Drosophila melanogaster: one gene and its partner. The protein of the gene in region 2 interacts with the protein of the main gene of each other region in a biochemical or structural test. Each region holds a gene or a part of one and is shown on either strand. Other genes may lie near its edges. The genes, in order: Np and pio.

Region 1 (7,048 bases), about 16 Mb from region 2:
TCTGTTAGTTGCGTAATGCGGTCGTTGAACCTGGCTCGTAGGAACTTCGACCGCAACTTACTGAGTAAATGGCTTTAATTAAGCCCGAATGCTAAATCAGTATCGGGAATCTGTAATCAAGAACGGAAGCCATAAAACATATCCATGCGGATGCCTCAATTAGATGTTGAATTCGAACCGATAGATTGCCTTGTAGTACACACGATTTCAAGTCCAGTTCCACGATTGTTTGGCTTTTCGCAGCCTCAAAAATGTTGGCCAGCTATTTGTGTATTTGGGTCACGTTCAGACCATATCGGTATGCGTATCTGTATAATTGTGTTGGCGTTGCCTCTGTGTGCAAATTAACATGAATTTCTGAGCGATAACCAGAATGCCTGGGAAGAGCGAGATGTGGCCGGATCTGGGTCAGAAGCAGTAGAAGCGGATGATTTGCATGATTTCCATCGGATCGGCTGATCGGTAGATCGGGGGATTTGGGGATTGTTAAGGCTGTCCCTCCAGCTCCACCTTGTTTAATGGGCAATTAAGTAATTTCCACTCGCGACTCGATACAAGTGACAATTTCATTTGCTCGTTAAAAGTGAAATTACAATTTGTTTTGTTTGGTATTAAAAATACATTTCGCAGCGGAGTTAGCCCTGGGTAAAAGCGAAAGCCAACGAATTTCTTTGTAGCTTCTTTTTTTTTAGTATTTACCTAAATGAAAAGTGAAATGCCAGCAGCGGTTGGTAATTTCAAATGCTGAACAAAAGAATTATGCCATTTGCTATGGAACGACTAGCTCATGAAAAGAAACCACATACACATCGACTGCGTTTCTAGTGTAATCAAATAAGAAGTGCGTCTCGCTGGCCGCTGCTTTCATTTCTGCTTACCAAAAACGGAGCTCGGTGAAATTTTCTGTGTATATTTGGCTTTTTTTTATTTTTTTTTATTTTGTCTTGTGTCCACTTAGCTGCGGGCTGCCAAGGCCCATCGGCTTGGCGCTTCTGGCCACATGTCCCCATCTGGCTGTCCAGCTAAGCCCAGCTCATTAGCTCAAAACGAAAGACTTAGGGCACAAACTCGATGGGCAGGCGTGCGCATCGCCTGCCGCTGAGGGCCGCCTAATTGTTTCAGCAGCTGCCATTGCAGGTTCAATACAACCATCAACGGCAATTTCTCAATTGCAAATGCCGAATGCAAATTACAATAATTACGGCGAGCCATTTTGCGCTACTCTACGCAGGCAGCCTCATCCTATCACCCCATCATCAACTTCTCCTGACAGGCGATCTGCCCGGCAAACCTGTATAAACCAGAGCGGCCCCAGAACGTGAAATGCAAATAACGCAACAGGCTTCCTACTGCCTACAGATCATCTGTGGCCGCAAGACAAACGTGCTCCACCCCTCCAATGCCCCCCACCGCCCTCCCAGCTGTCGAGTGCGTTTTAGACCAAAGACAGGCGGACTGGCAGGCCTCCAACAATAAGGAAGAGCCGTGTGTGGTTGTCGCAGGGGGGTCGACCCTATGGTACTTATCACAAAATATATAAAATCTAACATAGAGTAACCTGAATGAACATAAAAACTGCATCACTTGTATTTGGTCAATCTCAGCTTGTATGATACTTTTAACTGAATAAAACTATCCCTTATATAATTAACTCCCAGTCCATCTAACCCCTGTTACCCACGACTTGCCATTGGCATAACCACAATCAGACCAGTTCTTTAAACCGAAAAGCAAAAATCGTTTGCCGAGGAGCCAAAGGAAGCTGGAGCAAGCAAAGTTCTGCTTAAGATTGCCTTTTCTCGGTCGCTGAGGGAAAAGCAGAAGCAGTCGGCAGTGGCAGCGCAATTGAAACACTTGTACTAAGCTGCTGTTGCTCCTGCTGTTGGTGGTGGTGGTGGTGCTGGTGCCCCAACTCTTGTGGCACGCCGCTTTGGCTCGCTTGCATTTTACAGGAATTTCAATAAATTTACAGAGGAGGGAGCGACTTTTGCTTTGGACTCGTTTCGAGCTTTGGCCGTGTTTGCGGCGCTTGAACTGGCTGCTCTTGTTTTGCAGCCTCTGCTGGTGCAGTTAGTTGCAGTTATGCGCATCTATCGGCTGCTCGGTATCTGTATCTGAATCTGTATCTGTATCTTAGCACATGCATCTGAGTCTGTTGCTGTTTCTGTTTCTGTGACCGCAGTGAGTTGGCGCTTAATTGACTTGTACGCGGTAGAAAGTGCACAAGCACTTTGGGCACAACCACTGGCACAGGGGAAAAAAGAGCCGGCGTATCTGGCGGATGCGTATCTGAGTCTCGGATCTTTTGCATTTACTTGCGTTGGCTGCCAGTTGACGTCGAGCTTCGGTTCACTGCTGCCAGCTATTTTGGGTCATTTCATTTAATTCGCTGTTACCATATGAGTGTGATTATAACTCTTACGTTTGTGGCTCGTTCGTTTTATGAGTTTCTTCACTTTTGACACTGGCTCTCGGCCTTTTTCCGCAGTTCTACCTTTCGCTTCTTTCAAAAAAAGATCACACAAAGCACTGTTAGCCGCCTGGGAAAATTTGTTTCCCGAGATTCGTTTCCTTTCCCGGTTGGGATTTCGTTGCTTTGGTTTTGGCTTGTATTCTTGCACTTGAACTTGCCTCGGGACTTTGGGTCAGGCCAATTATTTCACTCACACTCGCACACACACACGCACACTCGCTAAGTCCCCGAGTACAGACGCACTCGCACACACACACACAGTCGCGGAAGACGGAAGACGAGCAGAAGACCAAGTTAAGAGCGCGACAAGTTGCGCACGTCTGCGGTGTGGAGCTCACACAAAAGATCCACAAACCAGGTGAAGCCACTGCCTCTGCCACTGGCACTGCTGCCGTCGCTGCCGCTGCCCGCTGCGACTGAGATTTGGCCACGCCGGCAGAGCTGAAGAACTTGGTAAGACGAAATTGGTAAGTTAGCTGATTCTCTCTCTCTCGCTCGCACGCTCATTCCGGCTCAAAGTTAAAGTCAAAGCCAAAACCAAAACCAAAACCAAACCACCAACATGTGCGCATGCGTGCAGTCGGCGTCGACTGCGCTACGCGCATAACGGTTTTCATTAAGGCCAACACCGAGAACGGCCAAAAGCTAGGCGCTGTTTCTGTTTCTGTTTCTTATTCAAATGAACCTCTCTCTCTTTTGGCCACCTCTCTCTTTTTGAGGCGGCTCACAGCTGATTGGCGGCACAAGGTGTTTGGCGGGGGGTGGTGGCGGTTGTGGCGGGGGGAGTTTGGGGTTAACAGCGCTTTCACATTAAAATAGCAAGAAGCAGAAGACAGCACAAACACACACACGCACACATGCACACATCGTGGCTTTTTCTTTTAATATATATATTTTGTGTTGCAAATGAGTGTGTTTTTGCTGCTGCTCGCCATTCTTTGTCACCTGTGCGAGTGTGAGAGTGTGTGAGTGTGGGGGGCCACCGTTTGTTTGTCTTTTAATTTATGCACGTCGTCAGGTTAAGAAAGTCAATCTTTATTATGCTGCGGCTCTCACAGGCAAACCAGTTGGCTGATAAGAATTGCATGGTGACTTCCTTGGCTTTTAAGTACGTTTTCCGAGAAACGTATGGGAAGAAACTTCTAAGGAGCAGCACTTCTGGGGAAAAACACTTTGCTCATTTCAGGAAGGGAAATATTGAACTTCTGCTACAAATTAAAGCTGGCTTCTAGCTTCTTTTGTCCTTTAATCAATGCACAAATTGTAGGAATTTTTCTTTTGTTTAGGTACTGCGACCATCACACGCTCTAATCCACACATCATTAGGTCTTGTGAAAAGGCCATTTAGACTGCCAAAGAAACACATTTATACAGCACACAAGAATCGCGCCTCACAACATCTCTGTTTAATGAAGCAAGCAAAACAAAACGCACAATTAACTATCAACCACTGACTGACTTGGCGATGACGCGTGTCTTTGGCCGTTCCTTGAACTCGAGAGACCTTGACACTGGGGCTGCTCCACAGCAACTGAGGCCTGGAAAGCCAAGCGATCCCCGATTCTTTGGCCAATTGCCCGAAGAAGTGGATGCCAATGTGGATGCTAAGAGCGAGGCCTGGTGAGAGAGGAGAGCTGCTGATAAGCTCCTTTTCGATTCTTCTCCCCCTGATTATGTTATTGAGTTTTGATGCCCAGCGATGATACTGGTCATTGGTTACTGCTTGGTGGCCAGCGGAAGTCGGGCTCATTAGAAATTCAGATCATGCTCAGCATGTGGCACCTGTTGCACGGCCATGGACCCAGTTTTGGATTTCCCGCGCTATCTCAGAAGATATCTCTGTTTGATGTTCGTGCCTGTTCTGGCATTTCTGGCTAATGTTTGCTGCCTCTGTTTCTTATTTGCCCAACAAGATAAACACAGATTCCAAACCATTTCGAAATCATGTTCTTTGTGCATCATCTGTATATTGATTGAGATGCTGCCTGAAAGTATGCAGCTTGTTTTTATTTACCCAAGACGCGAACCACGTCAAATGGAAATTGCAATGTAAAAGTTAAATTCTGTTGCATGAATTTCAGCGAGTTAATGCAGGTTTTATAAAGTTTTAAAAAGTTGTAATTAAAATTATCTTTGATGTTCACATCAGACGTTTGTCAATAAAAAGCCATGGTATTTTGGTACATTTTGTTTTTATTTTTAAAACATAATTATTGGTATCAATACGATGTCAGTGAAAGTGGATCGCAAATGTAGGAATTATTCGAACAGTGTTTAATAAATATAGAAAACTTAAATAGAATGCGTGGAATGCAATGAAGTCGAATGAAGGGTGGAGGGATCGAACGGTTGGACTGATTGAGTCGAGGAACCCTAGGATGTGGAGTATGATAAAATAAATACAAGGCCCCAAGGACCTCGGTCTTACACACTAGCAACCCCGAGTCGTAGAGGAATCACATGGCCTGGCTGACGGCATGCATCTCCGCAGCGGACGCACACCTGCGCGTTGGCGCCTACGCGTTGTCATTGGCCATAACCTTGTTGATCCAGGGCACGAAACGCTGGATGTTCGTATAGACGCCGGGCAGGTGTTCCCTCCCACAGCCAATGCCCCAGGACACCAATCCGATCAGGGTCTTGCGACCGTCCATGGTCAATGTTAGTGGACCACCACTGTCGCCCTGACACGAATCCCGGCCGCCATCCTTGTAGCCTGCGCACAAGAAGACCTGGACGAAAAGAAGTTGCTCAATGTAGATCTTTTTTAAGGGAAGACCTATGCCGGTCTTAAGTCTATGCCAATGTTTACTCACATCGTGGATGGCCTCTCGGCGACCCGCTGCCCGGAACCATCGCTGACAGCGATCATTCGAGATCACCTCCACGTCCACCTCCTGCAGTACGGAGGGAACTGTGCTCTGGCCGTGTCGGGTTCGCCCCCACCCAGCCACAGTGGCCATTTTACCAGTCAATTTGGTGGTGGAAGGAGGCAGACAGACGGGTATGATGTGCTGCTTGTAGACCACATTCCTGTCCAAGCGGATCAGAGCCACGTCATTTACAAAGTCTGCCGGATTGTAATGGGGATGCACTTCCTTTCGCTCGATGCCATACTCTTCGTGGTTTAGGCGCTCCTCCTGACCACGAACATCCCACTCGCCCAATCGGATTTTCATATTGGAGTTTGGAGTGCTGCGAAGGAATCAAAGATATATAAGTATGCTTTGAAAAGATTTCCATTCAATTTTTGCTGTACTTACGAAGCCACACAATGGGCAGCCGTTATCACCCATCGATTGGAGATCAGTGCACCGCCGCAGCTGAGTTTCCTAGTGAGGAACCCACTTTTGATCAGCGCCACCTGCCAGGGATGAGAGCCAAAGCCCGTGGAATGTCCTCCTACAATGCGATTGGATCGGGTGTAGACCTCGCCGCAGCCTGGGAATAGAAATATATATAAAGTAAGTAAGCGTAACTTCATTGATCCAACCAATAGAGCACCAAAGTAAGTCAAGAAATGATCTACAGAAACTAGGATAGCAACATAGTGAGTGAGTGGTGAGTGGTTGTGTGGTGCAGCTTAAAAGAACCAATTGCAGTGGTGCCACAGAAAGAGAGATGTGTGATATGGTGGTGGTTTTGTACCCGGCACTGGACGATAGCTGGCGTCGTGGTAGCCGCCACTGCCTCCACTTTGGTACTCGTCTGCTGCCTCTCCAGCATTAAGGTCCAGGACATTGCCCACCGCAAAGGCCTGTGCGTTGGGCAGCGGTTCGTGTGGTGGTGGTGCGCCGGCGGAGTCCAAGGGCGCCTGTGACTCGGCGTCAAAGAAGCTGTCCAGGTGGTTTGTGATCCCGCTGATAGAGCCCAGGTGGCCACCGGTCTCGTGCTCCCAGCTGTTTAGGCTGGAGGAGGAGGAGGAGGATGGGCGGCTAGATCCGCCAGCGGAGGAGCCTGGCTTGTAGGGATTGGAGCCGCTGTAGTGGGTTGGTCGCTTGGTGCCGTAGTAGCTGCTTGGGTAAGCCGGTCGTGCGGAGGAGGACGCTGTGGACGATGTGGATGGGGCCGCTGACAGGCCGTTGCCACTGTGGTGGTGCAGGTGGTGCTGCGGCTTGTTGGCATTCGTCGACAGGTCGGGGTAAATGTCATGCAAGTGTATTATGTCGCCTGTGTGTGAGAATTGGGATACAGGATGATGGTCTGGCCAGCGACTCCAGAGGTCACCATTGCCAACGGAGTCGGTGTCAGACTTTCCCCCAAAAACTGGTCGGCATTCGTAATAAAAATACGAATGCGATTATGTCAGCTGAAAATTTGGGCTCAGACTGGTCAGTGGGGCTATTAAGACAAAGACTGGGTGTTCGGGTGTTTCGCACGTAATTCAAACCAATCCGAAAGCCATTTGGTGGACAGAACGGCGTCATGACTTGATTAACACTTTCGAGGAGCTCGGAGCTCAGAGCTCGGATCTCGGCCTGATTCGGGTATGCCGTAACTTTGGCGCTGTGATTTTTCCCACATTTGAAAGCAAACAAAATAATAAAGATTTCGGTGGGGCAGGGATGGAGTGCA
Region 2 (6,916 bases):
CTGAGTATTTGGAAATGATTCCAAATAAATCCGAATCCAAACCCCAATGAAGTGGATAATTAAAGGGAACCGACCTCTCGCCGATCCATCAACATATCTGGGTGAACCACTTTAATCTAGGCGCACATCTGGGAACCTTTGGAAACCTCAGCCAGTCAATTAGAATATCTGACGACTCCCATCTCGAAACTCAGATCTGGTTCCAATCTGAATTGCCAAAGGCATTGGCAAATCACAAACAGAAACTGTGCTAAGCACACAAACCCATAGAAACCCATAACGTGGCTGACCCATTTGGAACTATGCTGATGGTGGTGGTGGAGGGGATGTGTGGGGTTCTACCAACTTTCGGTTGCGGTTTGCCATTAAAATGGGAAATCTCGTCGTACATCGCGACGTAGTGTGATCAATCACACTCGGAGAAAAATGTCTTGTCATGTCGAGATCAATTTGAAGATTTCACATATTGATTAAATAAGAATTAAGGTAAGGAGGGTAAGTGTTAGCCGCTAATATCAAATACTTCGAATTCAACACGTTGCCATAGTCTTCTAGGTACAATGGCATTCACATATCGAGCCAAACTTTCTTCCTGTGTAGCATAGCGATGCGTAGAGCTAATTTCGCTGCAATTCCGCTGGCGTAGAAAGTAAGTTGGGGCGGGTTAGGGCCTTAAAGGCCGACCTCCGAAGACTAAAGACCGAAGACCGAAGACTGAAGCGAACTTCGGAGCGAAGATGCATTGTGCGATTGTCCCGCATTGTTCTTAATGACGGCAATTAACGAGTCGAACAAAAAGGGCAGCTATGGCCATTCGCCGATTGAGGTCAGAGCGGCTTTATAGCCAGACTTCGGGCTCAGCTTTTACTTTTACTCAGGTCCGAAATTCTAGTTGGCCAGCGGGCTGGGGCTAATCAAGCGTCGGAGATCAATGGCAATTGAGGCATCGACTTTCACCTGCTTGCGTATGCAGGCTCTGCTTTGTTTCTGGAAATTAGAATTTTAAATTGCGACTTCAGATGCAGCAATTAGCTGGCACTTTATGGGGGATTGATAGCTAGTCAGGTAGGTAGCCGAGAGCCAGCGGATCGGAACGAACCTATAGCCACCCGGCGATTGTCCCAAGGTCAGTGCAATTGTCTCGCCGCAGCCATTGTTCGCCTCAAATGAGCTAACAATGCTGTTAATTTGCTGTTGGCCAATTGCAATAAACGCCAACGCCGATTCCGTTTATAGATTTAATAGATTGGGCCAACGACAGCCGACCAGGCTCTAATGGGCAATTGGCCATTAAGGCAATGTGAGAACTCGAAAATCGCGCATCATTAGGGGGTCTTAAAGTGGAAAAACGCAACTCCACCCTCTTGGCCAAATGCGCTGACCTGGTTGTTGCCACACGCATCAAACTGGAGCGTGGAGACATCGGGTCTTGCCACACACTGTGCGAACCAAGTTTGGGCTTAAGACCAAAAACTGCCCAATGCGTTGCGTGTCACTGCTCTTGCTGCTGTCACGAAGTTATGTAAGTTCTCTGCAAATGGCGAGCTTCTCTGCCATTTGTCAAGATGTCCAATTGGGCTCAAACCAACTGGCCAATATGCAAACCGCTGATTGGACACCCACAATCGCTCGGCCCGCGGCGCTGCCTAAATATATTTTTCTCTCCCATTTTGACGCCTAATTTTTGTGGCCGCAGGCTTGCTTATTGCCACGAAGAAAAAATATGTACGAAATAGCAAAAAAAAAAAAACAAACGGCAAAGAAATTCGCATTGAACGTGACTTGAGCTGAGCTGTAGACATGAATGTGTTTGATTTTTATCAGCCGGGTCTACAATATTTCAGTTTCAGCCATTTATTTTGCTCTTTTTGCTGTTGCCGTGCTTTTTGCCTTTTGACTGGCGCCCATTGTTACCCGCTGTTTTTATGGTTTTTTTTTCTTTCAGCCCAAAGGCACAGCTGAAACTAGTTTTGTAGTTCCGTTTTTGCTTGGCTGGGGTTTCGCGTCTAGAAGTACTAAAAATCCAGCCTCCCAGCTGCTCGTACATTGGCAGCTACTGCTGGTCAGAATCAGCCAAATTCATCATTAAAACTTATTCATTGAGCCCCCTTTTTTTTAAAGCTAATTATTGTTTGTGATGAGGGACTCGACTGATGAGTTCGAGAAATGGGCATTGCTTATTAATGACAGGCCGAGCTGACCTTACGTTTCCCATAATAAGTTTATGCAAGTTTCCTCGGCTCAGTACTTAAGTAACTAACTTTTGAGGAGGATTTCCTCTAAACCATAAATAGTCTCGTACTTGAAGTTAATGAGCGTAGAACTTCACTGAGATAAATCACTTGTAGTGTCATAAATGCTAAACTTAGACATTGATATCATAGACGATCGCTACTATATTACAATAATTTATTTATCTTATATCTTAGTGTCTGAGAACTTAACACACCAAGTATTGGCCACAGTTCTGTGCCCACTTCCTTCGAGCACAGTCCGCAGTTCAAAAGTCTTGGCCTGCCACTCCCCTTTTAAGGCTTGGATTTGAAAGTGTTTGGAATGAATTGAACAACCTCGTGGTCGGTCGACTGCAGTCGCGGGGTTTTGCGTGGGGTTGATCTAAGGTAAAAGCCTGCATTTAAGTCCGCTTGAGTTTGCCAATGTTGGTTTAATTCGCCAGTGGTGGTGGAGGAGGCTGGAGAGTGGGGGATCAACTAGCCAGACGACTTTTCATTTTGGCCGAAAACAAACAAGCAACCCAATGCAGAGTGTCCGTTTAACGGGGGGCAAGCGAAGCTTGTGACTCACGGCTGGGTTTGGGGCACGCCTTTCGCTAGCATTTGGGTTTTTGCATAATTAGTGCTGAGCGCCAACGTGTCGTATGAGTAATGCAGTCGCGAAGTTCGTTGCCTAAGTCTTTCGTTTCAACTGTAAATCAATACCAACGAGCAGGCGGAAATCTAACGCTGAAAAGGTCTTGGCCTGGTTGAATGACCTCACCATTTTTGGCGCTTTCTTTGTTAGTTCTTCCGCGGGAGATTATAAATCAATCACACAGCTTTTGGCAATCAAGCCCACACGCATTTCTCGGCTTAGTTCATAAACCCCCAAAAATCCGTCATATGTCTTCACTTCTCTCACTTAGCTGAGCACACACATCGCCAGGCAGCAAAATAATACGAAATTATACGTACAATCATATTTTCCGTCTTTACCTTATTTTGTGCCCGCTTCAAGGTCACTGCGAGTTGTTGTCTGGCTGTTATATAAACAAGTTAACTACACGATGGCTCAGAAACTGGTATTCGAGCAGCTCGGGCGCAGATTCGCCTTTTAATTATACAAATTTTACGCTTGCGTTGGCGTTCCTCGACGCAAAGCTTTCCGAGAATGCCGGAGAACTTGGAAATATCCAACAGAAGTTGGAGATAAACGCCTTTGGCGGATGAGCCATTATTCACTAGTCAAGGCGTTGTATTCAACGCAGATGAAGACCATTACATTGGCCAACTACAATATTTTGATGGCTAACAAACCACAAATTAACCAATTAATAGGCCATGCATCACCGAAAAGGGAAAGGCCGTGCATCACATTCCCATAGTCCAAAGATGATGCAAGTGTCGGATCGGGATGGGTTCGGGGTTCATCTCTCCATCAATCAACATTTCTAATTGCTTCTTTAGACGCCAACCCGAACACAATGGAACGAACATAATTATGGCTGTGTGATCCGTGGAAGTGCTAAAAGTTCCACAAGGAGAAGAACCCGGTCTCAGCTCATGTGGGTAATGTTGGGTCAGCCAATTAGCAACAGATTCTGGCTTATAATGGCCGCACACGGAGTGGGGGTAAATGTGAATGGACCTTTGATTCCAAGAGCCCGATGACACATTACTTATGCGGTGCGCATCCAGAAATGGGCATTGAAAAACGGGAAAGAAGGCAGGAAAAGCGGATGGAAGACGGATGTCCGTGATGTGGCTACTCAAATAGCCAATTGCCGATGGCCAACCCCATCGCGGCCATATTTGTGTCCCCAGATGATGCAACTGGCTGCGAACTTGGCAGCCAACATCGGCCACTGGCAACCTTGGCAAACAGGTTCAGATCCCCGGACAGATGGCTTCTCAGGCCGCTTTTCAGATAAGGCCCATTTCATTTGCACAGAAAACAGATTGCAACGCTTCTTCAATTTGTTCCCCCGAGTACAAGTATTGGTATTCCGTGAATTCCGAATTTCGAGCGAGGCGAAGTGAAGCCAACCGGTTTGGCTGATGGATTTTTGGCACATCCACAGCGTCGGCGATTTATGAAGTCATCTTTTAAGGCTGTTTTGGGTTTGTTTTTGCAAACGGCACAGCTTTGATTTTCTGCCTGATTTTAACTGTTTCTTTTTGCGGGTTTCGGGTTTCTGGTTATTCGATTATGGCTTTTCAAACAGCAACTCCGCAACACTCACCTCTAGCCAACTTCGCCCTTTTTGCGTAATCCAATTTGTTATGTGTCCGTTGTTGCGATTTCGCTGTGCCTTAAACTGGTTGCCCGGAACGATGATGATTTTAGATATTTTCACGAATTTTGGTTTCACATTAGTTTGATTTTGTTTTTATGTACTTCCTAAGTGTTTTTTTTTTTTTTTGCGGGCTTCCTCTATAATTATTTCGTTTTGTGGCCAACACTCGTTTTACATGTTAACGCTGCGGGAATTGCACATTTAAGAGTTGGCCAAGAGTGGTAAAGAGACGCTAAGAGCTGCTCTTTGTGCGAATTGTGGCAAATAATCCGAGCTGTTGTTGTTGCTGCTGCTGCTGCTGCTATTACGCCGTCTCAACACAAAAGACTGAGGCAACAAACTTCCCGACACTTTTGCACTTCCCCAGAAAACAACGCGAAATATTCAAAAGATTCACAAATCATTCAGCACGTATTTACTGGCCCGGTTCAACCACCCGTCGAGCTTAATCGCTTCCCAAGGGCAACAACAATCAGAGAAAATCACGACAGAAACATCACAGGCACAACAGCAACAACCGCAACTATTTCAAATCTCGGAAACCCATGAACGTCTCTTGGAGCCACGGAAAGCCGTTTCAAATCCACACGCACGATCCAATTAGAACCGGGTAAACGGAGCCATAACCGCAGAGCTACGCCACTCGAAAAACTCACGCACGATTCGGGATCGAAACGAATCGGAATAGCAATCGAAATCGAAGCGATGGGATCGATGGGATAGAGGTTCGTTGAGCGCTGTGGATGTGTCTCGCACACCGACCTGGCCAAGACTGACTGGGCCCGAAACCGAGCCACTCGCACTCCGACGAAAACGCCAAGACGATGGCCGACAACCGGTCTTGCCAAGATTCGGAGTGGCGGCGCTCTGGGATTTTCGGAGCAATTGGCAAGTCTATGTGCGCTCTTCCGACGATCTCTTCACTAAGGCATAGTATAGTATCGCCTCAATTGGCGGTGGCCGCGGTGTCGCTGCCAGTTTTACAGCAGCAACACGTCGTCCAGCTGAGCTGCACTTGATGACCGGCGGGACTGGCGGCCACGCTCCGCTGGCTCCCTTTAATACACCTACGGCTGCGGGTCCAGATTGTCTTTCTAATGAGTGCGGCATAATTAGAGGGTCGGGCGGCGGTCATCCCATATCGCAAGTGTGCACATAGAGAAACATTGGGCTGGAAACCTCAACAAAAAACCCTATATTCCCTAGCTAAGGTTTTTTTAAATTTAAATATTTTTTGCCATATTCTTTAATGTTTGTTTGTGATTAAAATTTATAAAAATGCTTTGATTCGAAGCACTCTAGACTAAGTTTCCAAGTATCCAGGTGGTATCCAAGTGTCTTTGGAGCGCCTCCAGGCCAACGTCATGCTTTCGGCCACAGCTGTGCGCTCGCAACTGGAAGTCAGGTTCTGCTCAAACTTGGCAGCAGATCGGTGCAATTATGGCCAGTGTGTGGGCTGTCACCAGAACACCTTGATGACGGCATATATGGCCACTGGTGGGGCTGACTGCTTGGACTGACGAGGCTTCTCTGTGGGACACATGCTGCTCTTCTTTTGTTTTACTCGGTAGGCACATAAATCTTGAACTTGTCTCTACATTCTGTGAACCCAGCGCCCTTGCAACCTCGAGATCCCAGGTGCGAGTACAGGTAGCTGTGACACCTCGGAGACCCCGAGTTGTTGTTACTTTCTGCCGTATTTCCCTTGAAGCTGCCCGTCGCTGTTTATACTTTAGTTCTATCAATATTTATTATTATTATGCGTGTTCCTCTGTTTCGGTTATACATGTGTGGGGAAAACTTGGATGAAGTGGACGAATTATTCTTTTGAGACGTGAGAGAATTCTACAAGGACTGGGATGGGTAAATCCCTCACCATTTGGCATTATAGGTACTTTACACAAATAAAATATAAGCATATATTTATGAGTGGAAATTTTTTAAATAATTTAAAATGTATTATTTATTTATTATATATTTATGTTAAAATAGTTAAGCAAGCTCTTAAGAGCATGGCCTGCCCACCTTATTGACTATAAATAAATTTAAATAAAAAATTTTCCAACTCCTCAATCCGTCGAAAAGGGGAAGTCCAAGCGACAGTCGTCGGGGGGACAATCGAACAAACCGAAAACCACCCCATTGAACAGCAACAGGACATGGAGTTCCGGAGGGACCAGGCCGATTCCCAAAAGGCGGCCGGGGGATTCAGGACTACGTAGCCGGGGTAACTGTCACTGTTTGGCGTCCGGAAAATTTATTAACTCCAGCCGAATTTATAGTATTAACCTTGATATAGCCGTGTGGAGCTACTAGCAAATTAAATCTGAGAAAAATTCAATGTGTGTAGATTGTCCAGGTCTTTTATCAAATCACAATCGTTGTTGCAAGAAACTTAGCCAC

Evidence for each region.
Region 1: of the proteins of pio (region 2) and Np, one has a biochemical effect on the other in vitro, tested with the Drosophila melanogaster proteins (one study listed by BioGRID).

The regions. Positions count from the first base shown.
Region 1 is NT_033778.4:9,002,582-9,009,629, forward strand, and holds the start of Np (notopleural), read right to left. Parts: upstream 4,007-7,048; 5' UTR 3,908-4,006; intron 2,796-3,907; exon of another isoform or gene 2,423-2,795; intron 1-2,422. Other genes in the region: CG8172 (uncharacterized protein), read right to left, coding at 4,990-5,205, 5,290-5,668, 5,737-5,914, 6,122-6,643.
Region 2 is NT_033778.4:24,579,622-24,586,537, reverse strand, and holds the start of pio (piopio), read right to left. Parts: upstream 5,294-6,916; 5' UTR 5,170-5,293; exon of another isoform or gene 4,698-5,169; 5' UTR 4,460-4,697; intron 1-4,459.